2 linked regions of the Tamandua tetradactyla genome follow. The protein of the gene in region 2 purifies or fractionates together with the protein of the main gene of each other region. This does not show direct contact. Links are inferred from orthologs where the notes say so. Each region holds a gene or a part of one and is shown on either strand. Other genes may lie near its edges. The genes, in order: GRHPR and PGM1.

What was found.
Region 1: the proteins of PGM1 (region 2) and GRHPR fractionate together in Homo sapiens (co-fractionation; 3 studies listed by BioGRID). This does not show direct contact. The link is inferred for Tamandua tetradactyla from reciprocal best matches to the Homo sapiens genes PGM1 and GRHPR.

The regions. Positions count from the first base shown.
Region 1 is NC_135328.1:57,769,226-57,781,461, forward strand, and holds the start of GRHPR (glyoxylate reductase/hydroxypyruvate reductase), read right to left. Parts: upstream 4,634-12,236; 5' UTR 4,577-4,633; coding exon 4,494-4,576; intron 2,754-4,493; coding exon 2,623-2,753; intron 1,733-2,622; coding exon 1,660-1,732; intron 1,467-1,659; coding exon 1,350-1,466; intron 95-1,349; coding exon 6-94; intron 1-5. UniProt on the Homo sapiens protein: Enzyme with hydroxy-pyruvate reductase, glyoxylate reductase and D-glycerate dehydrogenase enzymatic activities. Reduces hydroxypyruvate to D-glycerate, glyoxylate to glycolate, oxidizes D-glycerate to hydroxypyruvate.
Region 2 is NC_135337.1:62,484,498-62,496,736, forward strand, and holds the start of PGM1 (phosphoglucomutase-1), read right to left. Parts: upstream 4,828-12,239; 5' UTR 4,771-4,827; coding exon 4,471-4,770; intron 1-4,470. UniProt on the Homo sapiens protein: Catalyzes the reversible isomerization of alpha-D-glucose 1-phosphate to alpha-D-glucose 6-phosphate. The mechanism proceeds via the intermediate compound alpha-D-glucose 1,6-bisphosphate.

The sequences.
Region 1 (12,236 bases), on a different chromosome or scaffold from region 2:
CTCACCTATGCGCCCCAGCCCAATGATGCCAACTGTGCTCTGCGTGAGTCCGTAGCCACACATCCACAGGGGCTTCCATGAGGTCCAGCCACCGCTACGGAAAAGGGAGGGTTGGGGGAGAGGCCCAGTGTCCCTGGTCAGAGCCCGTGGTCTAAGGTATGGACCCTGCTCTCCAGGTCCAACTACCGAGAGGGCTGAGTTATACTTACAGCCACTCAGCACTGTGAATGAGCAGGGGGGATGATTCCTCTTTTAAGGCTATCCAGGCTACAGAATTAGTGGGCTGGGAGGGGCCTTGGAGGTCCCCATCCCATTTTGCAGGTTGGGGAATGGCAGGTAACAAACTCAGGATCTGGGACTCCAGAACCAGTGCTCTCAGGGCCTCTAAGGCAGCAATGAAAAATAAAGTCACAAGGCCCAACTCCTCTTGCCCTGAGGGGGATAGGAGAACAGAGCTTGGCTTGAACCACCTCCAATGAAAGTGACAAGTCTTGCGAGAGGAGGGTCAGTGAGACATTTGCACTGTCTCTCACCAGCCCCATGCTGTGTCCAGTCTCTGTTCCCACTATATATCCGCCCCGGAGCCAGGCTCCGCATCCCTGTTCTCTGAGGGACTGCATTTGCCTACCTCCCACCTCAGTTCAAGCCTTCCAATCTGCTCAAGCCATTCCCTACACCTGGAATGCCTTCTCCCACTTTCAATACACAGACCCCATTCCTTTATCTGAAATGTTTCGGATTTTACAAAGGTAGTGTGATGCACGTGTTGTGTTCTACATCATACCCTTGGTAAACCACCTTGTATCAAACACATCAGCATTTCTGCAGCAAAACATGAATATTCACATAGAGTAGAAAAAATAAAGATCACAAGTAGTCTCATGTCAGTTCCTGCCAGGTTTTGCTACCAGAAGATTTATGAAACAACTTCAGTTTTCAGAGCTTTTCTTTTTTTCTATTTTTTTTTTAACATGAACAGCACTGGGAACTGAACCCGGGTCTCTGGCATGGCAGGCGAGAACTCTGCCACTGAGCCACCGCGGCCACCCGTTTTCAGAGCTTCTTTGTGGGGTACAGACCTCTTAAGCCCGCAGGAAGATGCTTAAATGCTACTTCTTCCGTGAAGCCCTTCCTGATCCATGCATCCCACTCCCAACCACGCTCTTCCTTATCCTCTTATCTCACCATTTCCCTCCACACCCGGTTTATGTCAGTTCTGGCTACGCTTTAGGATTTTGGCCACTGGTCAGGGATTGTCTGCAGTCACGGATCATGTCCATTCAGGAACCCTGGGTGCTCAGGAACCAATTGCCGAGCAAAGCCAACCTTCTCACCCGGCCCTCACTCACTTCTTCACTTCTGTGATGGCCTCCGGCAACCGGCGACCAGTAGTGAGTAGCAGGGAGACAGCGAGCTCGGCGGTGGCATCTGTCAGGACATCTGGGGTGTAACCCACACGGATCCCACTACAAAGTAGAGATCTGATGGTAACACCAGCCACAAGCATCTTCATTGATTTTTACTGCTGGGAGCTTTCCATGTGGTACTTTGGTTATACAGGGGTATGAAGTGACAAAAACAAAACCTCAGCCCCTCTTCCCCCTTCTCTGCTGGCCACCCTCACTCCAGGCTCCCTTCCAAAACCCAAGCCGCACTTACCGCTTCTTGATTTCATCCAAAGCCAAGTGGTCGACACCCACGGACAACGTGCTGATGACTTTGAGATTGGCTCCTGCCATGTAGGAAAAGCACCATTTGTACATTTGCTTGTGGAATTCCAGATTCTCCTCTATTATGGGGACCCTGCTTATTATCATTTTCTTACAGTAAGAGTAAAGGCTAATGTCTCATTTAAAACTCTGACAATCCCAATTTATACAGACACTGAACTCAGAGAGGTCAGGTAGCCTGCCCCAGTCACACGCTGCCAAGTGGCAGAGCCAGGGGTCCCCCCCCCCCCCCCGCCCCCAGGCCTATAACACCAAGGCACCCACTCTTACCCACTGGACTGTCTGCCCAGAGTCTCCTTTGGCCACAGCCCGGGGCCTCTCCCATGAATACTGGGAAAGCACCGAGATAGCAGCTGTGACCCCTCACTCCTCTGGGAAAGGTGCCAGAAAGCTCCCAGGTCAAGGCCAGCACCAACTCACAGGGACCCTCCCTACCCAGCCAGCAGCCTCTGATTCTGAACCTTTCCTCAAAATTGCCAGGACCACAGTTTACTCTACCCTAAGGTTCCTGCCTACACTGAACTGGGCCCTCTTTCGTGCTGCAGATGGGACCAAAGGAAAAAGGGCCTTGTTCCAGATCACAGAGCAAGCCATGGCAGGACTGGATGAGGCATGGGAACTTGGGTGCTCTCCCTTGCATGCCGCTGCCTCCAGACCAAGGTATCTGCCCTCGTAGGGCCTTCCTCCAGGGATTCACAGCCAGGAGATGAAGGCAATGTTCATGCCAGATGGAGCTGCCAACAATGGCTCCCTCTGGCCTGGTATTGCAGCAAATGCCCTCAGAACCAGACAGGTTGCTGAAAGCCTGATCAGGGAGCCAGCAGCAGCAGGCCACGTGCTTACAGGGCCAGCATGCCTTCTGAATCCACCCCAGACCTGCCCATGCACATACCTGCAGCATCCAGGAGCCTCTTGTCTACACGGTCAGTGAGAAGGCAAAGCAGGCCGTGGGCCCCAGCCACACCTCGTTCTAGCTCCTTGTCAGGGATGGGCTCATCCAAATCCCACTGCTCCACCTCACAGCTGAAGGCAAAAGGAAAGACCACTCAGAGGCAGGGGAGCCCCTCAGATGCTCCTGGTCCCGAAGTCCCACAACCACATTCCCAGCCCCTCTCTCAGAGCTAGGAAACACCGCCTTCTGCTAGTTCTGGCCTTGGGTGGCCTGCGGCTGGCTGAGAGGAGTCAGAGGTCAGCATGGGTGGTGGGAACCTCAGAACTGTCCTGAGAGGGCAGGTGAAAGGTGAAGGGCTGTCACAGAGCAGAGGAGGGGGCAGGAAGGCCTGAAGAGCCTAAACTGAAAGAGAGAAATCACATGGACAGCTCTTAGCTCAACACAAGGAAGAGCTTCCTATCACTAACAGGAGGCCTCATGGTTAGTGAGCTCCCTGGTATGGGACGTCCAAAGAGGCAGCCAATTGTTGGGAAGGCCATCAAAGAGGTTCTGCCATCAGCGGGGCTTGGATTCCACGACCAGATGCATCATTTTCTGTCCTGTGAGTCCATGAAATGGAAAACTCTCATATTTGAATGTTGCCAGGAAGGACGACAAAAGGGTGCACTTCCATGACAGCGTCTGGAAAGTATACATTTCCCAGTTGTGCAATCCAGTCTCTTGGCTTTTACCTTAAAATTCAGGCCAGCCAAGCTGTATGGAGCGTTTACCTGTGCAAGCAATCTACAGCTGCAGCTCTCATCTTGCTGACTGAGCCCCAGGTACAGGCCACCTCTCATCCACTTTTACATGAAAGTGGCACACAGAGCTAAAGCAGGTTTGAGCTACTGATATTATGACTATTTTTTTCTGCTTTCTCCCATGCCCACCCCAATGAGCCCTTAGTACAGCAAAGGTTTTATCACACTGAATGAAATAAAAAACAAATCTCATTTTCCCCTGGAACTGGTTTCCAAGGCTGGGTCCCACCTTCTTCCTGCCTGCCACTGGCAGTGGAACTCTGGTTTGATAAAGTGGTCAGACTGCAGTCAGACCTGAGTTCAAATCCCAGCTCTACCACTTGGGAGCTGTGTGACTTCAAGCAAGGTACTTAATCTCTCCCAGCCTCAATTATCTGTGAAATGGGAATTATAATGCCCACTTCACAGTGTTGCAAGCACTAAATGAGTCTATGTACATGAAGCCCCTGCCAAGGCTGGCACACACAAAAAAATTCACTTCTTAAGGGATCACCAAAGGCCTCCGAAAACAGTTCAAGTGACTGCCAAGGTCCCTGACCCCTGCCTGCCTGTCATCAGGCAACCTTGGCCGTGTAAAGAACTAACAAGCTGGACCTTGCATCATGGGCGGTCTCCCGTCTTCCCAGGTCAATGACCGCAAAGGGCTCTAGTACCAGCGGAGATGGGGGCGTCCCAGTGGCACTGCACAGGTCCTGGAGATTGCTGGGCCTCAGACAACTTTCTCTAAGCCTTACAAGAACTCCAAGTCCATTCCCGCCAAGCACAGGCTAAAAAGTCCGGCCAAGGCCTGGGCCCGAGCTGTCCCGGGCCGCTGGGATCACCTCGTTACCCTCCCCGCTCTGGAGGCCGCCCTCAGCCTGCCGCCTGCAACTCCGGGCGTCCCCAAAGGGCGCCTGGAGATCGCTAAGTCACCCTGTGCACAGGGGTCCTGCGATCTGGGGAGGGCACGGCTAGGGTCGTCTCCGCAGAGCTGCCCCGGGCCCCGCCCCCGCCCCGGCACTAACCCCCACCCCGTGCGCCCGGCCCCGGACTCGGCGCGCGGGATGGCGCGGGGCGCGGGGCTTTTCTTACTCTGCAGCCTGGGCGAGCGCGGCCCTTCCCTCGGGGGGAATCCTGCGGGTGACAAACACCTTCATGACTCGCGATGGCCTCATCCAACCTGCAGCCGGGGCACACTGACCGGGACGGGGCCAGAGGGAAGGGAACCGGAAGTATGGGCGGGGCCTCGAAGGGGCGGGGCCGGGACTAGAGGTGAAAGCCTTGGAGGGAGGGGAAGGGGGCACAGGTCGGCCCGAGTGGGGGCCTGTGGGACTGTGGAAGTGTGGTGACTGTGCGTGTTCAGGGAGTGACTGTGACAATGTGTCTTCGTCTGGGGTGTTAGGGTGGGGTTCTGAGCATTTGCCATCAGCCCCTAAAGGAACTGAGACTAGTCCTGGGGGTGATGCGGCTATGGGTGTGCCTTGACCCTAGGTTCTCCCTCCAAATGCCCACTGCCTCAGAGGCTTGGGGACTGGCAAAGGCATGTCTTGGGGGTTGGGGTAGGTAAAGGGCACCCAGAGGAGAGTGTGTGTGAATGTGTTTAGGTATGTGTGGATATGACATGTCAGCGTGGCTACAGCTCTCAGAGGGTGAGTGTGTTCTGGGGCCAACACCACTCCCAGGGCCTGAGTGCCCTGACCATCCACGCTAGGTCTGTCCCATCTTGGTCACGCTGTTCCAGGCAGGGGCCTCTGCTCACACAGATTGGGCTCTGAGCCAGGATTGAAGTTCACAGACAACAGGCTGTACCTGGGGCTTTGGAATCTGGGAATGGCTCATTAGTACTTTGTGCAATTTCCATGTGAAGCCCTCAGTAGTTGGGGGGCGGGGGGTTAATGGGTGCAGGCTACCCAGGCTTGCTGGAAATTTGCTGAGTGGCCAGGGGCAGGTCCTGCAGAGGGCCATGTTGGGGTCATGTGGGGACATGGTCAGACCCAATGTTTGCAGTCAGAGGCACCTGGCTGCAAACAACAGGGCTGGTTGGGGACATGTGGGGACATGGTCAGACCCAATGTTTGCAGTCAGAGGCACCTGGCTCTGAACCCTGGCTCTGCCACTTACAAGCTGTGTGCCCTTGGTCAGGTCATGCCATCTTCCTAAGCCTCCTTTTCTTCAGCTCCCAAATGAGGCAGTAACACTTACCTTTGAGGGTTATCGTCATGATCAGATGAGACAACATCTGCACAGGCTCTGGGCCTTGTAGGTGGGCAACATGTCCTGAGGCCATGGAGGGGAGAGGTTAGGAGCCTGGGCTCTGGAGCCAGACCTCCTGGGCAGACATCCCGGCCTTGCTAACGACACGTTATTAAACTTCTGTGAGCCTCAGTTTCCTCATTTGTAAAACGGGAATAATAATAGTGCCTGCTTCATGGGGTTGTTGAGAGTCTGAAATGTATGCACCTGTGTATTGTGCTATGACAACGCCCCCTAACAAGTGCCATGGTGGATGCTTGACAAATATTAACGCATCTAAGGAAACCAAACCCCTGGTGCTCTGGGGCCAGCAGTTGGTCAAGGATACAAATGCTGAAGCCAGACTCTGGACAAGTGGGAAAACCTCAGGCCTGCTGGCTTCATCTCTGAAGCCTGCTGGGTTATCTGTTCTCAGGCCTGAGAGTACCCAAAGGGTGGTTTCTCCTCTACCCTCTTCTCCACTTATTTTAACTGAATCCTTTCTACCCTCTCTGGGCCCAGATAAGGAAACAGACACACGGGAGGTGACGTCACCAACTTGGTGCCACCCAGCATGTCATTGGAGAGGTGAGAGCCGGCACCCACTGTCTGGCACTCCACCCTGCCACCTCCCACTCTTGAGTAACACAAACAGTTATCTGCACTGCTAGGCCATCCCAGTGAAATTTTCTGAATATGTCAAACATTGACATAAAGAGGTGTTCTCTGTCCCCACACCAGGCCCTCCAGGGAAAGCGTGACCCAGTGGCTCAGCCCTCTGTTAATGGGTAGTGACAACAGAGCCCCACTGACCTCCCCCACACCAGGACAGGGGAAGGCACTGGGCAAGCCTGTCCACCGGGGACGGGGGGGCGTGACATGTTAGTGGGGCCTCTCCCCAAAGACAGAGCACTCGGTAAGAGCTGCGGGGTGGTGGACCTGGAGCCAGAATGTGGGTCCTGCTGAGGACCCCAGAAGAGGGATTGGGCAAAACCTGGGCAGCCTGGTGAAGGGGTAAGGAGAGGAAGGATTCGAGAACTGGAGAGGGGTGGATCATCATCATACATCATAATACATAGCTGGTATTTATGGACTCTTAGAAAGTTCCAGATACTGCCCTAAGCACCGTCCATGGTGACCCACTCATTTAAACCTCTTGGCACCCTGCAGGGTGTGTGCTATCGGGTGATTTCCCCAGAGGCAAACACTGTCACCTGTTTCTTGTGTATCTTTCCAGAGATGTGCCATGCTAATTAAGAATATGCAAAACAGTTTTGGCAACTCCTCAGAAAGTTAATTGAATTACCATTCCACCCAGCAGTTTCACTCCTAGGTATGTGTATATCTAGGGAGAAATGACTATATATGTCCACATAGGAACTTGTTGTTGCTCTTTATTCCTGGTATTATTTATTCATGAGAGCCAAAAGGAGGAAACAACCCAGATATCCATCCACAGACAACTGCAAAAACAGTGTGACATATCAGTACTATGGAGTATTACTTGGCCATAAAAAGGAATGGAATTCTGAAATGTGCTACAACTTGGATGAATCTTGAAAACATACTATGTGAAAGAAGACAGACATGAAAGGTCATATATTGTATGCTTCTTTTTATATGAAATATCTGGAAAAGGCAAATCCATGGAGACCAAAAGCAGATTAGTAGTTGCCAGGGGCTGGGGGCTAGGGACGGGGTGGGGGTGGGGCTGGGTACGGGGCAGGGGGGCGGTGCTTACACAACACTGTAAATGTACTAAATGCCACTGAATTGTACACCTTGAAATCAATTTTTTATCTGCTCTGTGAGTTTCACCTGAAGCAAAAAAAGAATATGCATTTTTTAGCACAAATGGTAGCACATACACTTTGTGTCATGAAAGAGTATATCTTGGAGCTCATTCCATATCAGTGTACATAGAGCTGCTATTTTTTGCACGGGCAGGCACGGGGAATCAAACCTGCGTCTCCGGCATGGCGGGCGAGAAGTCTGCCCGCTGAGCCACTGAGCCACTGTGGCCTGCCCAGAGCTGCCTTTTTAATGATGCAGAGCATCTTACTAGGAACAGGATGTACCATAAATTAGTTACAGTCCCTTATTGAATGACCTTTAGGTTGTTCCCCATCTTTTATCACAATGCCACAATGAAGAGCAAAGCATATGTCACTTTGCACATGTGTAAGAAATCTGTAAGTCAGAGTCCTAGAAGCAGAATTGCTAAGTCAAAAAATACGTGCAAAAAAAAATGTGCACTGTTCTAGTTTGCTAGCTGCTGGAATGCAATATACCAGAAACGGAGTGGCTTTTAAAAAGGGGAATTTAATGAGTTGCCAGTTTACAGTTCTAAGGCCGAGAAAATGTCCCAATTAAAACAAGTCTAAAGAAATGTCCAATCAAAGGCATCTAGGGAAAGATACCTTGGTTCAAGAAGGCTGATGAAGTTCAGGGCTTCTCTCTCAAGCGAGAAGGCACATGGCGAACACAGTCAGGTCTTCTCTCTCAGCTGGAAGGGCACATGGCGAACACGGCGTCATCTGCTAGCTTTCTCTCCTGGCTTCCTATTTCATTAAGCTCCCCGGGAGGTGTCTTCCTTCTTCATCTCCAAAGGTTGCTGGCTGGTGGACTCTCTGCTTTGTAGTGTTGCTCTCTCTGAATCTCTCTGAATCTCTCATTCTCCAAAATGTTTCCTCTTTTATAGGACTTCAGAAACTAATCAAGACCCACTCAAATGGGTGGAGACATGTCATTCCCTAATCCAGTTTAACAACCATTCTTAACTAAATCACATCAACCAGGGAGATGATCTCATTACAGTTTCAAATATACAGTATTGAATAGGGATTATTCTAACTTTAAGAAATGGGATTTATATTAGAACATGGCTTTTCTTAGGGGGCATACTTCCTTTCAAACCAGCGCATGCACTATACTATAAATTTTCATAGATCCTGTCAAATTGCTTTTTATAGACATTGTTTAATTTACACTCCTACTAGCAATGTAGGAAAGCACCTATTTCCCAGCAGATTATTTTTTTCAGCATATAATTAAAAAATATATATATAGCAACAAACAAACAAACGTCTTAACTGATGATCATTCCGTTCTACATATATAATCAAGAATTCACAATATCATCACATAGGTGCATATTCATCATCATGATCATTTCTTAGAACATTTGCATCAGTTCAGAAAAAGAAATAAAAAGACAAAAGAAAAAAATTCATACATGCCATACCCCTTACCCCTCCCTTTCATTGATCACTAGCATTTCACTCTAAATTTATTTTAACATTTGTTCCCCCTATTATTTATTTTTATCCCATATGTTCTACTCATCTGTTGATAAGGTAGATGAAAGGAGCATCAGACACAAGGTTTTCACAATCACACAGTCACACTGTGAAAGCTATCATTACACAATTAACTTCAAAAGACATGGCTACTGGAACACAGTACTACAGGCAGTTCCCTCCAGCCTCTCCATTACATCTTGGATAACAAGGTGATATTTATTTAGTGCGTAAGAATAACCTCCAGGATAACCTCTCGACTCTGTTTGGAACCCCTCAGCCATTGACACTTTATTTTGTTTCATTTCACTCATCCCCCTTTTGGTGGAGAAAGTTTTCTCAATCCTTGATGCTGAGTCTCAGCTCATTCTAGGATTTCTGTCCCACTTTCCCAGGAAGCTTCTGGGTTTTGTTACACATAGCGCATCAGTTATTTACTGCTGTGTAACTAATTATCCTGAAACTTAGTGGCTTAAAGCACACCCGTGGGAGTCATGTCCCACGTAGACAGAGGGAGGATGGTAAGTTTGCTTGTTGTATTGGCTGGAGAGAGAGGCCACATCTGAGCAACAAGAGAGGTTCTCTGGGGGTGACTCTTAGGCCTAATTTTAAGTAGGCTTGACCTATCCTTTGTGGGGTTAAATTTCATATGAACAAACCCCAAGATTGGGGGCTCAGCCTATAGCTTTGGTTGTCACACTGCTTATGAGAATATCAAGAATTCAACTTGGGGAAGTTGAATTTTCCCCCTTTCTCACCATTCCCCAAAGGGGACTTTGCAAATACTTTTTTATTCACTGTTCACATCACTCTGGGATTTTTCGGGGCATCACTCTGGACAAACCAACAAAATCTCATGTCCTACCTGAGATTCCAAGTACTTAACGTGTTCAATCAAACTATCTACATAAGTTATATTAGGAAATGCACTAGTCAAAATATAAATTTTGTACCAAACAAACATGTTTTGCTTTAGTCTCGCACATAAGGTGAGATTTTAAAATATTAATTACCATCTATTTTCAACACCCTGCAGTAATGACATTCCTTTGTTCTTCCTCATGCAAAAATGTTTTTTAAATTTGTACATTTAGTCACTATCATTACAGTATATTATTTTTAAATGGTATTTTACTGTAATTTTTATTTACAATAATAAAACTTTTCATATGTTTTCTGTGAACTGTCTATTAATATCCTTTGCCATTAAGTTGGGTTGAGCATCTTTGTTTTACTGATTTGTAAAGACCCTTTATATAATAAGGAAACTAGCCTTTTGTGATATGTCACAAATATGGCATTTTCCCCAGTTTGATGTTTCTCTTAGGATTTTATTAATTTTTTTAAGGCAGAAACTTTTTTATTTCTATGGCTTCTGGGTTTTGTTACACATAGCGCATCAGTTATTTACTGCTGTGTAACTAATTATCCTGAAACTTAGTGGCTTAAAGCAGCAACAATCATTTTACTATTATCTCTTCTGGTTCTGGGATCAACTGGGCTCAGCTAAATGGTTCTCGCTCAGGCTTTTTTGGGTAGCTGCTGGCCAGAAGGTTGCTGGAGCTGGAGTCATCTCAAAATCTTTCTCACTCATAGGCCTGGCAGCTACCCGCCTCAGCGGGGGCTATTGGCCCCACCACCTGCACCAGCCCTGCCGCCCCCCCAGGGCCTGGGTTGTGAGCACCGACCTCCCAAGAGACAGAAAGAATTTGTTTCAGTAGTGCAAGGCCTGAGCTTGGAAACTGACACTGCATCACCTCTGCCGTACTCTACTGGTCCAGCAGTCACAGAGCCCAGGTTCAAGGCCAGGAGGCACAGACCCCCTCTCGCTGGGAGAACCGTCCAAGAACTGACGGGGCCACGTTTCCAAACTGCCTCACATGGAAAGGCCCTTTTCACATTGGGTTTATTTATTTTTTTCTTTTTAATGTATCTCTTGCTTTCTCTATCTGGTCCTTTCATGGTTTAATTTTTTTACTTTTGAAATTTTGATGCAGACTTTTTTTCAGATAGCTACCAAGTTGTTCCAACCACTATTATTAAATAATCTATCTTTTTCCCATTGATTTGATATCTTACCAGTATTATATACTGAATTTGGGTCAATTTGTAAACTTTATTTCTGTTCTGTTGAACTATCTATCTAGTCATTTGTGTTAACATCACACTGTTTAAATTATTATAGCCTTATAATATACTCAGTATCTCCCACAATTATTTACTGAATGATCTAGACTTTTCCCACAGACTGAAGTGGCACCTTAATCGTACACTAAATAAATATCAATTTGTGTCTCTTTCTAGACTCTCAATTCTGTTTTTTGGGGGAGGGGTGAGGGTGGGGGTGCATGGGCCGGGAATTGAGCCCAGATTTCCTGCCTGGGCGAGCACTCTACCACTGGATCACCCGTGCACCCCCTCAATTCAGTTTTATTAGCTTTTCTGCCTATTCTCTTGCTAATAATACAATTTTAATGATCTTAGTCTCAGCATACTTTTTAAATATAAAATAAAACAGGTTCCTAAGGAAAAACTGTTAAATGGGAACACCCTCTCTGACTTAACTAAGATAAAGCCTACCTGTCCTTCATGATGCAGTTCAACGTCGCCCCCTCCAGGAAGTCTTCCCTGATACACCCATCCCCTGTCTGATTTAAAGGTCCCTCCTCTGGGCTCACAGACCCCTAGGATACCTGGGGCTTGTAGTTCACATATCTGTCTTCCTAATAGATCCATGGGATTTTTGAGGGCAGGGATCATCTCTGAGTCAGCCCTCAGCCCCAATACAGTATCAAGCTTGTAGCAAGGACCCAGTAAATGTTCATCAAAGAACGGGTGATGAACGGGCAAAAGCTCAGGGGCAAGGAGGATCCAGGACAGGTCAGCAGTCTGAGGTTGGGGTCCAACTAGGATAAATCAGAGGAGGGGTTTCTCAGGAGTTCAGATTTAATCCTACACTTAGCTGTAAAGCAGGGAGAAGATAGACTTCCCGTGGGCTTTAGAAAGATCCACCTACAGCCTCAGGGCGGGGGAGGGGACAGGCAGGGAGGGAATGGATTGGCAATGGAGGCTCCACTTGGGTCTGGTTCAAGGGCTACTTTGTAGGCTCCAGTGGGGCTGAGGGGTCCCCAAGATGCCCCCCACCCCCTTCACAATCCCCTCCTCCTGAGCGTGGGAATTTTTATGGGCTATCACTCAAGTGATTGGGTTACTAATCAGTTAACTTCGAGCCAATCAAAAGAGAGGTGATCATGATGGATAAAAAAAAAAGTTCAAAGTGCTATGCGACCCAATTAGATGAGTC
Region 2 (12,239 bases):
GGCAGATGGACAAAGAAAAGCTCTCCTGGACCAGGAAATATTTTCTTCTGTGAATATGTACAGCTTGGATGGTCTCCACCATATCGCTGAAGAAGAAGCAAATTGCTAAACAAAGGCATTCCTTCAGACAGCTCTTTGTAGTTTTAGGACCATGAGCTCTGGTGGTGGGATAAGGCTCTGGCAAGAAAATATACGACAGTCACAGCAGGGCTTTTCCATATAGTGGGTTTCTTCCAAGTAGGACATATTAAGTGTACCTGGATTACCTCGTGGGCATGGAATGCTGTGAGTCATTACTGAGGAAGCCAGTTAGAACCACCTACATGGACGTGATACAGGTGATACTTTTGTTGCATTCTTAACTCACCTTCCCATTTCTCTTACAGACCGCACCAGCACAGCTCCTAACCCTTCCTTTGCTAAAATGGCAATAATTTATAAACATTTCAACATGACCCATTTTGGAGAAGGAAGAAATTCTGTCAGTTCCTCTGACATACTTGAAGATGGGACTGCTATAAAAGGATATATGAAATTCAGAGGCTGTACCTGCTCTCCCGTCTCCTTTTGAGAGAAGAAAGGGATAGGAATGTTTTCAAATTTCTCATGTTATTTTGTTTTTGTTCCACCCAAGATAAATAAGGTTGAAGAAGTGAGTTGATGGCGGAAGACAGGTTTTAAATGTTGAAAATACAACGGAGATACCTGTATTACCTGGGAAAGCTTCTCTGGGACTCTGACCTTTGCCATCTCCTATGGGCCATGGAAAACATAAGTCATAATTTAAATTCTCACTGCCAACCACCTGCCAGGAGGCATTTAGTTCACTTCAGTCATCACCTGGCTCCCCATATACTGAATTCTGGACAATTTTTGTTGTAGCTGCACTAATATATTTTTTCCCTGTTCTACACTTCCCCAGTAATGGTAATGGCCAGGGTAGGTGCTATTGTTAGCCTCTTTTACAGACTGCAGGAACCTGTAGAGCACAGGAAATCAATCCTAATGATTATTATTGTGCTGCAGAGTTCCTTCTACATCCCCTAGCACTTTGGATCCATTCTTGCACTTGCAAGAACTTCCAAGCTCCATTGTATGGATGAGGAAACTGATGTCCAGAATTGTCATGATCCCTCCCATTCATTCATTCTTTCATTCATCCAATAGCAGCAATAAGCATTTATGGGAAAGTGCTGTGCCAGATACTGGGATAGATGACAGGACAAGGTCACATGGCAAATTAGTGGCCATCGTGGGGAAAAGCATTGAAACTTCCTGATACTGCAAATGCAGTTGGAATGGTGACATCTCACCCTTCCGGGAATTTCCAGGTGTAAATAAAAGCCTGTGGTTGGGTTTACATGTTCAGAATTTCTAGAACATGGCAGGAGACAATTTAATCAGCTAGAGAGGCTGGTAGAATTATCTGGAAGTTGCATTTGCACATCAAGCACATGGACTTCTACCTAGATTTTGTATGTATTTGGTGCAGAAGGGGAGACTAATGAATTTTAAGCTATGCCTCCACCCAAGTTATCCCTTAATTCTTCCATTCTTTATGATGACAGCTGCAGTCCATAATGGTCCCAGACTGAGGGGTTTATAACATAGAAAAAGGGTTTCTATGAAGGAAACCCTTTTTCTATGTTATGTGAAGAAGGAAAGTTGAAGTAACAGAAGTAACAGAAGTCCATGGTCGCTTCTCTCTCCTAAGCTCAAGAAGAGGTACATCTGTACTTCTCCTGCAGAGCAAACTCTTTCCTTAAGAATAGTTATCTTATGGAATGATTTCTAAATGTTGTGTTAATTTCTTTTTTTTCTTTAATTAAAAAAAAAAGAATAGTCCTCTTCAACCCAATTATCTGGGGAGATGTTACTTTTTTACCCTCACTCCCTTAAAGATGCCTGAATCACCGTGACAGTTCTTGATTCAATCTCCCACCCACGCTTTCCTCCTTCTAACCCATCCACCTGCTCAAGTACACCTAGTTCACACCTTCCCAAACCACAGTTCTATGGCGGACTACCACAGTAGTCCTTCATCTACTCCACAACTCTCCCTGGCTCCCAAGAGCTTACTTACCAAATCAGAGATAATTCCATCAGTCTGGCACCACAGCCCCTCATCATACAGCCCCTGCAGCCTTTCCTCCCTCCACGTCACCCTACCAGACTAGATACCTCACTGTCCCCCCAACCCTTCATATCCAAACACGGCAAGGAAAAAACCTGTAAATTTCCCTTTTACTTGGAAATAGGGTCTGCTGTGTTATGTTTGTCCCATAAAAGCTAAGTTCCATTTTCTTTGTCCTGCTGGTCATACTCATGGATTCTACTCCCATTTCTAAACTTATGTCTAACAGCTCCAGGGGCTGAATGCAATATTAATATTCTAAGTGGGGACCCATCAATGTCTTATTTTGTACATGAAAATTTCCTGTAAATGCAAACAGTTTTACACAAATGAGAACAAAAAAAAATTCCTAATGAAAGCAGATTATATTCTATATTCCACAAATGCACCAGATAAAGATATACTAAAGAGAGAGAGAGGAAAAAAAAGATCTCCACTTAGCTCACTAGGCTAAAAAATCCTTCAAGAATCTTCTCCTGCATGGAATGGGTACTGGCAAAAGTGAGGAAAGAACGCTGAATTCTAACAAAATCTGCAGCAATATTTATCCTTCCTTTAAATGTCCTCCCTGATATCCTGTCTTCAAGATGTGACAGGTATACAACCAACAAGGGATGGTAAAACAGTCAGAACTTAGGATAAATTAGAAAAAGAAGAAATCAAACCACTTCGGATTTGTTAGGTTTTATCAGGCTAAGGTACTTCATCGGTCCACTAAATATTTGAAGTCAGTTGGGTGGCAGACTGCTTTAAATGCAATAAGCAATGCCCTTGAAAAGACTTGAAAATATTGCTTGGGCTGCCGCAATTCTGACAAATAGGCAGTTACCATATTTAGTCAATTATTATCACTTCAATGTATTATTTAACAAACCTTCAGACTGTAAATCTGAGAAAGTCTATAGGATCTGCCCAAATTACACATTCTCACCACCTTTTCCCCATCCTTCAGCTCCACACAAAAATGAAATGAAGCCAAATATATCACAGCAAAGGGGACAGTGTACCAGATCCATTCACCAGTCTAGATATATGCAGAGAAATAATGTTCCATTCGTTCCTTCTCGAAAGATTAAAAGCATCTTAATACCATTCCCTCTGCAGCTCTCCTCAAAGATGAAATTTATGGCATGTCACATTTTATCTTAAAAATATGTATGCTTCATAATAATTTCATATTTGAGTGCTTTATCAGCAATTTTTACATGAGGGGCATTCAGATTCTGAAACTGAGTATCAAAAGAAAGCTCGCATTATAAACAACAGGCTCTACAAACACTTAAACCTGGTTTGGTAGAGCATTTTGTTTTTTGTCTTTAATTTGGCTTTTGCAATCACACTTGCTTGTAACATTATTAAAATAGATTGAAAATGAATGCCCAATACATTTAATTGCAATGCTAAATTTATGTCCTCGGAACCAGAATCTCCTCCAGAAAGGAAATACATTCTGTTTCTAATTTACAGGTATTGAAGGTCTAAGCATTATTCCAAATGCTTAAAATATTTTTTTTGGTCCCACAGAAGAACTTTCAGAGCAAAATCAGCAATGTTCTGATGCCTGCCTTCCTGTAAATCGATGGGGCTATGCAAACTGTTAAGATTATTAAGATCAATGCTTTCTGGTACAATATTCCTTCTCATTTGGTTAATCCAGTTAACCCGCTTTTTTTTTTTTCCATGATGCAGAGCTCTAGCAGAGCCTGCTTATATTATAGTTTTACAGGAGTTATTATCTCTACCCTGCTGCACAAATTCACCGCACATAGGGTTTCTTTGTGCCCCGGGTCATTATAAGGAGGTCCCCCATAACAGGTCCTCTTGGAAGGCTCACACCTAACATTTTCCAATCCCCTCCTAGCATTTCTGCACGACTACCAGGATCCATAAACAACAGCATGCTCTGGGTTTTGTTTTCCTGTTTGACAAGTGACTGAACTTCAACAAGGAAGCCATTGAAAGAAAATAAAATCCTCCTCTCTCCACCCTCATTAGAGCCCCTCTTACAGAGGACCCGCTGCCCCTAAAAGCTAGTTAGGACGTAGATAAGACAGCTTAAGGCTGGGGCTGTGTTTTAAATGTCTAAAAAGCAACAGGTACTTTTTCAAGCAACAAGAACAGAGCACAACCCAGAAGAAATTGAACTTACATTTCTATATCTGCTAAAGTAACCACCGCGTGTATTCACGATCTACAATTTTTTTTAATTGCAATGAAACTTAACTGCCCATCAGTAGAATTAAGATCTATGTAAGTTCACTGCATACAAACCTTGTACTTCTGTGTATCTCTGCAAAATTAAGAGATTCGGAAAGGCGGAAATGTGGTATACCCACCCCATTGGCAGCAGCCATCTGCACTATTGTTTCTATTGCTGATTTATTAAAATACCGCCCATCTCCACCAACCACCAGCGATGACTCCTGGCGATCTTTTAGGTCTATAGAAAAGAATATACTCTGGATGAAATTCTCCAGGTAGCATGGTTTTGCCTCAAAATAAAAGGTTTTCTTCCGTAATCCGCTAGTTCCTGGCTTCTGATCAAGGTAGGGTGCTGTAGCAAAAGTCAACAGTGGGAGAGGACCTTCTTCCATTTTTCTGTATTTCCCAGAAATCCATCCATCAAAATCACTCATCTTTCATTTCCACCACTTGGCTCAGGGAAGGTGTCCAGAGAGCTGTCCAAGTCCTCAAACCTGAAGCGGCGACAGTGTCACTCGAGTAACCAAAACAGAGAGCTCGTCTAGATGGTCACTCAATGAGGAAGCGTGTTTAATTCCCTGCTGCTGCCCACATGGAAACATTAATGGCCACACACCTACCCACACGCGTGTACAAAGGAGAGTCCCCAAGTTGTTTTGATGAGGACACTGCTGCCCACGTAACCAAGCCAAATGCCTGCAATTATTTTTGCCTCATTCCTCTGTTAGGGTGGAGATGGCTCCAAAGGGCGATCGCACAGCAGACTTAAGTTACAAAACCAGACGTCTGCCAGACCCCACTTCCTGGGTCCAGGCAAAGTCAGAGCGGATGCAGTTCTGAGAAGCAGGTTTGTAAACAAGACACCTGGTATGGCTCTCACTGCTTCTGCCACCCCTTAAAACCAGAGCCTCTGTGCATTCATCACTGCGAAGGCCATCTGCAGCTAAAGTTGTCCCATGCCATCCAGCAATTTAAAAGGTCAATCTTAAAATGGAAGTGTGGGAGCTCAGTTACCTCTTGTTTCCTTACACCCCCATCATTTTGATACCCAAGGCATTTTTCCTTCCCACGTGCAACATCAGTTAGAAGAAAACATTCATCTAACAAAACCGATTTAACAAAATATTATTTAGTTCTAGAAGAATGGAGATCCACAAATATATTCGGAGTGACCAACAGTCCTCTGTTTCTTAAACTTCTAGAAAGAAGGGATAAGGAAGGATGCATCAAATCACTGAAAATGTGAGCAGAACTGGGAAAAAATACATCTTTTTTTATGAGTGCATGAGGTTTGATCAATCTATTATTTAGAAAAATAGTATGAGCATAAGGTTATTTTGGGGGGGAGGGGTGCATGGTCCAGGAACTGAACCTGGGTCTCCCACATGGAAGGCAAGCATCCTACCACTGAACCACCCGTGCACCCAGATTAAATTTTGTTTTTTAAATGTTTTAAGTCTTAAATAGACTTGGCTTTTAAGAAATTTTTTTAGTGAGGGAGTTTAAGTCCTTTGCATTTGAAGAACCTAAAATGTTTGAAAATATCTACCTGAATGAACTTAATATCCTTTCCCATTAGATCCATGAGATTTTACTAATAATCTGCTTAAATACATACATGTGTGTTTTACCCAGTTCAGCAGAAGCTGCCAATTAAGAAGCTCCATTGTCAAGGTTTAATGAATGTTCAAAGAATGCTTAAAAAATTAACCAAAACTAGTTGCACACATGTTTTGGGAGCTTGATATGCACTGAGTCAAGGTTTTCTTGGGAAATGTGAGTAACCATTTCAGAAAAAAAAAAAAAATCCCAGCATTTTTCTACCAACTTGGAAGCAAGGGTCAAAAGTAAATAGGCACTGTAAGCAGATAACTGCCCTCTCTGAGGCAAGAATGTCCCTGTGTTCTGGGGGCTGCTCTACACAGACCAGCAGAACAAAAGGAGCTATGAGCCCAAAACAAGCCACCAGCTAGGGTGTGGTCCCTTTCAGATGACACACAGGGCCAGCCCTGATGCAGGGACTACCTCAAGCAGTGACACTGAAAGAATTCACAAGGCAGGTCTATCAAGTTGAAAACCAATAATAAGCCATAAAGCAATGAGTTATTGCAGTTTATTTTGGGCTCTTATTTGGTATTTCAAACTAAGATTCTTTAAAAATTAAATTACAAAATGAGCTTCCTGTATTTACAGTAGTTTATACATCCACCGTTTTTCAACTCACTACAAATGCTTTTTTTTTATTTATATGCTTTACATTCTGTGCCAAGCTTTCTGTTTTTAGACAGGCTTGCAAATTAGGCCAGTAATAAGTCCTGACATAGCCGATAACAGATTTCTGCTTTATGTAATACAAACCTAGTAATCTCTTCATTGGGAATAACAGAGCAACCAACCACATAACTGCTAGTTCTCTTAAGGAGACTTTGAACTCCCAGGGTAGATTTCAGGGCACTTGCTCATGCGGGTTCTCCCACTGCTCAACCGAAACATCTCTGCCCACCCAACACAACACACTCCAGCATCCTGCTGGTGACCTGTCAATCTCTCAGGGAAGCTTTTTCTGAAGCTAGAACAGGAGAATAACATTCTGAGCGACTGGCATGGTGTTTGTCATATTCAACACTAAACCAAAAACACAAAATCCTTGCCCTAGAAAAGCTTCTATTCTAAAAATGGACCGGAGTCATAATTTTATAGACACTATAGAACTCAACCCCATATGAAAATATTACCAGAAGCAGCAATGTTAGATGGAGTGTGAAGTGTGGTGAAAAAGAAGAGGCATTAAATACATTAAGCTTCCTAAGACGCACAGACTAAGTGGGGCAGCTATTAAGAAACCCATTTGTTTTAGCTCTCCAGCAAAGGTTGAACTTCATCTTCAGAAACGTTACTGTCGAGCATAGCGAACCCAATTTGGCCTAATGAATTTGCCTGCATTGCCAGTACTCCTTCACAATGACACAAATTGCATTTAAACCATATGGGGAATTTAAGGATTACTCCCTTCAGACAAGGAACTTTCATACTGGTCTTAGGTCCCATCAATTTCACAGTGGCAGAGTGATGAACCCCTTCACTCTCAGCCTCTCAAAGTTTCCAGCTCCCATTCTGATCAGAAATGGTCCTTCCTAGCAGAACACAGCAGAAATCACAGACTTTCCAACCCTTCGTTCATTCTACCTGTCTTTCTTTAAATCAACAGCATGTATCAGACAGTTCATCACTATATTCCAGGCACCAGGTGAGGATGGACCCACGGCCGCAGCAGGTTCACCTCTTCGCACAAATGCCATAGGCATGGGAAGAGGGGATGGAACTGCTAACTCTGGGTCTAGGCACAGGCACTAGAAAGAAAGCTTCTAATTCTGCTAAGAACATCAGGGATCACCGGACCTCCACCTCGCAGCTGCTAATGGCTGCAGGTGCCTGCCCCTGAGCATTTGGGATGTTTGTCCTAAAGGTGAGAAGTACAAGCCAGGAAACAGTCATTTATTTCTCCAACCACCAGTAACAAAGCATATGGTAAATGCCACCCACCGGCGAGGCAATGAGTGAGATGGAAAGACCAAAGGTTTACGAGCCAGACACTCCTGAGCTCAGACCTTTGACTCTAAAATGCGTGAGACTGAACCTCATGAGTGAGTTACTTAACCAGGATGAGCCTGCATCATGGGGCTAACTCTCAAGGTTAAAACAGATGACCTATATAAAGACATCTGTACTGGCACATAATACATCATTACTTCATCTCTGAAGTATATGAAAGTCACTGTAAACTAGAGAATGATATAAAGATGCAAACACATTTTTTTTTACATTCATAGATGGGTCAGGTATGGAAACACATGGATGGGATTTTGTGCGCACGAAGCTCATCATCAGAAAGGACCTATCACAAGAAAACAGTGGTGGCACTGGGGGTGCATCAAATAGCTTAGAGGAGAAGAGACTGGAAAAAGATTAAGGCTGGCAAAAAAGATTCCTTCCTCAGCTGAGAGGGCTCTGAGCAGCCTGGTCAATCTTCCAGCGTGGAGTGTGTCAGCTTCCTACATACAACCTCAATTTAGATTCCTTGGGCCAATTTGAGCCTTGTTGTTGGGTTTTGTTGAACTCCAACATTGAAGACTTCTTTTCCTTCCCTCCAATTCCTTCTCCACATAGTGTCTTGCCACTCACCCCCCCTCTTCTCTTCCCAACCCATCCCAAAAGAGTGGACTCCTGGGCCATGTTTCTGCTATAGGACCCTACTTCCAGGCCATGAGCACGAGGAGTGGACACCTGAGAAAACTGGGCCAATCATATTTTCTCTCTTAAGATTGGGGAATATACAAGTTAGACTCTGTTAGTGCTGGGACCAGGAAGACACATAATCTCAGGAGCAGTGGGCAAGGACAGCTGAGTCATGAGAACAGCTGTAGAACTGTGACTGACAGCTGGATGATGCATCAGTACATATAAGAGTCAAGCAGGGTCCAACCCTGTGTGGTTCAGACACATCCAAGACTTGTGGCCCTCATGGAAGGGAGGAATTGGAAAGAGTTCAGAATAAAATCAAGCAAAAATAGGCTAGATGAAACCCTGCAAGTGGGTGGAGGCTGCAGATTTATCAGACGTGAGAATTAGGAACAGGGGCTAGGAGAGAAAGTCACTCACGTCTCCCTGACAGACTGGGGTCACTCCACACCAGATCTCAGGTGGACACGCACCTCAGCCAGCTGACAAAGTCACGCCCAATTCAACCGGAAAGGTAACTCCTAATTGCTTGGGGTGAGAGAACCTTTTTTAGTGGGCTTAAAGAAGGTTTAAAACTAAGTAGATATGATGATGTAAACCATAATCACAGTGTAGAGACAGTAAATGAATCAAAAGTAGAGTATTAATACTCTTGCAGAAAGTTTGGGAAAAAGCTATGAATATTTGGCATTTTAACTACTTTAAGAGGGTTTGGGGTATTAGGTTATCTAGCAGATAAGCCTTATGATCCCAATTTAAAATATGTAATTGAATAACCTATTTAGACTTGCGATTTTAAGTTAAAGGGGGTTAAGGAATTTGGTAAAAATTATAAATATTAATTGAACATTTAATAAAGCTTGGAATGCACATATTTATAAGTTTAACTCATTAGATCCAGACAGAACAGCAGAATGGTTCAGTGATGGGACCTAAGGTCAGACTTAGGGGATCTGAACCACAGCTCTCCCAGCCGCTAGCTGTGTGATGCCTGGCAAATTATCTAACTTTTTAATCCTCATCTGGAAAAATGAAGATAACAGCAGTCCCCCTACCATTTGTCTTTGTAATGACTGAATGAGGTAACACACAGAAGTCTCAAAAACCTGGGGCTGGTATAAGCATACTTTGTGCAAGGATCTGCTGTCAGGACCGTGACATTATATGAGAATAAACTGCATACTTTGAAAGTTTTGCTTCTCAGATTAAAGAACTTAAAAAGAAAATAAACACATTTGACTTATAAACTGGGAATAGTCATAGGAACGTGATTAAATGAGATTGTAAATAAGATCAACAAAAGCAGAACAAAACAAACTTACACAGGCAAATGGGTCAGCAGAGGGAGAGAAAAACGTAGCTGACATGCTGGACAAGCAGGGGCGAGACGAGGACGCGGTGGGGGCTCCGATCTCCGGCGGTGGGGAGGCTGAGCTGCCCACCCTGCTTCTGGCTCCTGGAGACACCCCTCTGGCTTCCTCACACAGTCCTGATGGCTCAGGGTGCTCTGAGGTTTCTGTTCCCTGCACCTCTTCGCTGTGTTGACCAGGCCCTGAGATGCCCAGGTCCCATCTGCTAGCTCTGGGTCAAGCCCTCTTTGCTGGGCACACAAGTGAGAGGAAGAGAGAAACCCCCTCTCTTCTTCTCCCCCGAGCCTCGGTCCGCAGCGAGGAGACGGGCAGACGACCTCTCCCTAAGCCTGGGCAAGAGACTTCACATTTTCATGCCTCCATTTCCTCAACTGTAAAATGGGGATTCAAAATAGCATCTACCAGATAGGTTTGTTACGAAAGGGGTACGGTAAGTTAAGAAATGTAAAGCGCTTGGAACAGTGCCCTATGTGAGTTGTTAGTTTTTGTTACTACCTTGAATCTGAAAATATGAAGGTGTGTTTCGTGCCTTTGTATTGGGAGAGCCATTAGCCATATACATTTTAACTGAGTTAGGAAATGCCCTTGAAAGGAAAGAAAACATCACATTAAGTTATGCAGAGGGTACAAGATCAGAAGAATTACCAGGAGAATTTGTACACCTAGATGGCTCAGAGGTGTACAAAATCCCAGGTTCAAAAGGACCCCTGAGGCAAATTTTAAAGTAAAAACAAACAAAACACTGCCTCAGAACATGGACATTCTTTAGCATCTTTCAGTCTGTTGTCCATCCCTTTACACGTTCATCTATCCATCTTTCCAACATTTACAATATAGAAATTGATTGATTTTATATATTAGGCACTATGCACCACAGAAAGATAAAAGAGAACTCAAACTGTCAAGAAGCTTTTGGTCCAGATTGGGACTACAGCAAATCAGAATACAGGGGAAAGGAGGACATTGTCTTTATTTTAAAACTTCAACTACTCTATGAGACCAAAGGAACAGAGGTTTACTTTGTCTCAAACCCACCTTTTCTGTAGCACATAACCTAACTCAACCTGTCTGGATAGCTCATTTAAACAACCGAAACACATGGAGCCGAGAATGGTAACCAAGGCTTGTAAGTCTGTATAGCTTATTTTAGTGCCCTAATACATCCCCTAGTATGTTGAGCAGATAATTAAAATCTATTAGCAAAGTACCTTGAGGGACAGGAAAAAAAAAAATACAGACCTGTTCATCTTTACCACCAGGGCAACCCCTGATACTATCACAAACATTAGGGACTCCTAAGTCAATAGGCCAAGCCCTTGATCTTGACACTTGCTCTTAAGGAAGTTTATGTAGGTAGTGGAGAAGCTTAGCCTATCTATAGTCATGCCTAAGAGTTACCTCCTGAGGACCTCTTTGGTTGCTCAGATAGGGCTTCTCCCTCTCTAAGCCCAACTCTGCAAGTGAAATAATTACCCTTCCTCCTATATGGGACATGACACCCAGGGGTGAAAGTCTCCCTGGTGGTGTGGGAGAAACTATTTTGAATCCCCAACCAAAACTATTCCTGCCAACCCTAAAGAACATCTAGGGCTCTGAGATTCTACAAAGGTTCCATGCATTATGATTTCTTTCCAGAAATCTATAAGCTCCATTTCCTGGACTAGATAAGTCCTGAAATGCTGAGTGACCAGCCTCTCCAGAATACCAGCTAGTTCCATCCCCCTATCCCTTATTATCAACAGCCCTTTCCAACATGAAAAAATTAGAATGATCACAGTCCAAATACCCTGAAAGATTGGGGAAAACATCAAAGGTGATGGCAGAGTTATAAAGAGAAGGTAGGGTTTAACAAATAAGTATGATTGCTGAATAGTTATATTGATATTTCCAGTGTCTTAGAGCAGTTAGAAGGAAAAAGCTAAAATTGTGGAACTGTAAAACCCATACCAAATACTGACATCTGCTCTATAACTAAGTGTTGCAGTGTGTTTTGAAATTTATTGCTTTTCTTTATATATATTTTTTACAATTAAAAAAAAAAGAAGCTTCTGGTTCAGAAGGAGACATATAAGTCAACAAATCATGACAAACTGAACAAAAAGATGCTAAGCTGGGAGCTTGCAAGGGGTCAGCGGGAGCCCAGAGGGGAGAGAGAGAGCTGGGCAAGGTTTCCCCACCTCCACAAATGGCTGTTATTTAATCATTTGGTTAAACCTAAAAACAATCACCTCAATATGAAAATGGAAGGGCTTAGGAACCCCTCCCATACATAATGCACATATGAAGAGGACTAC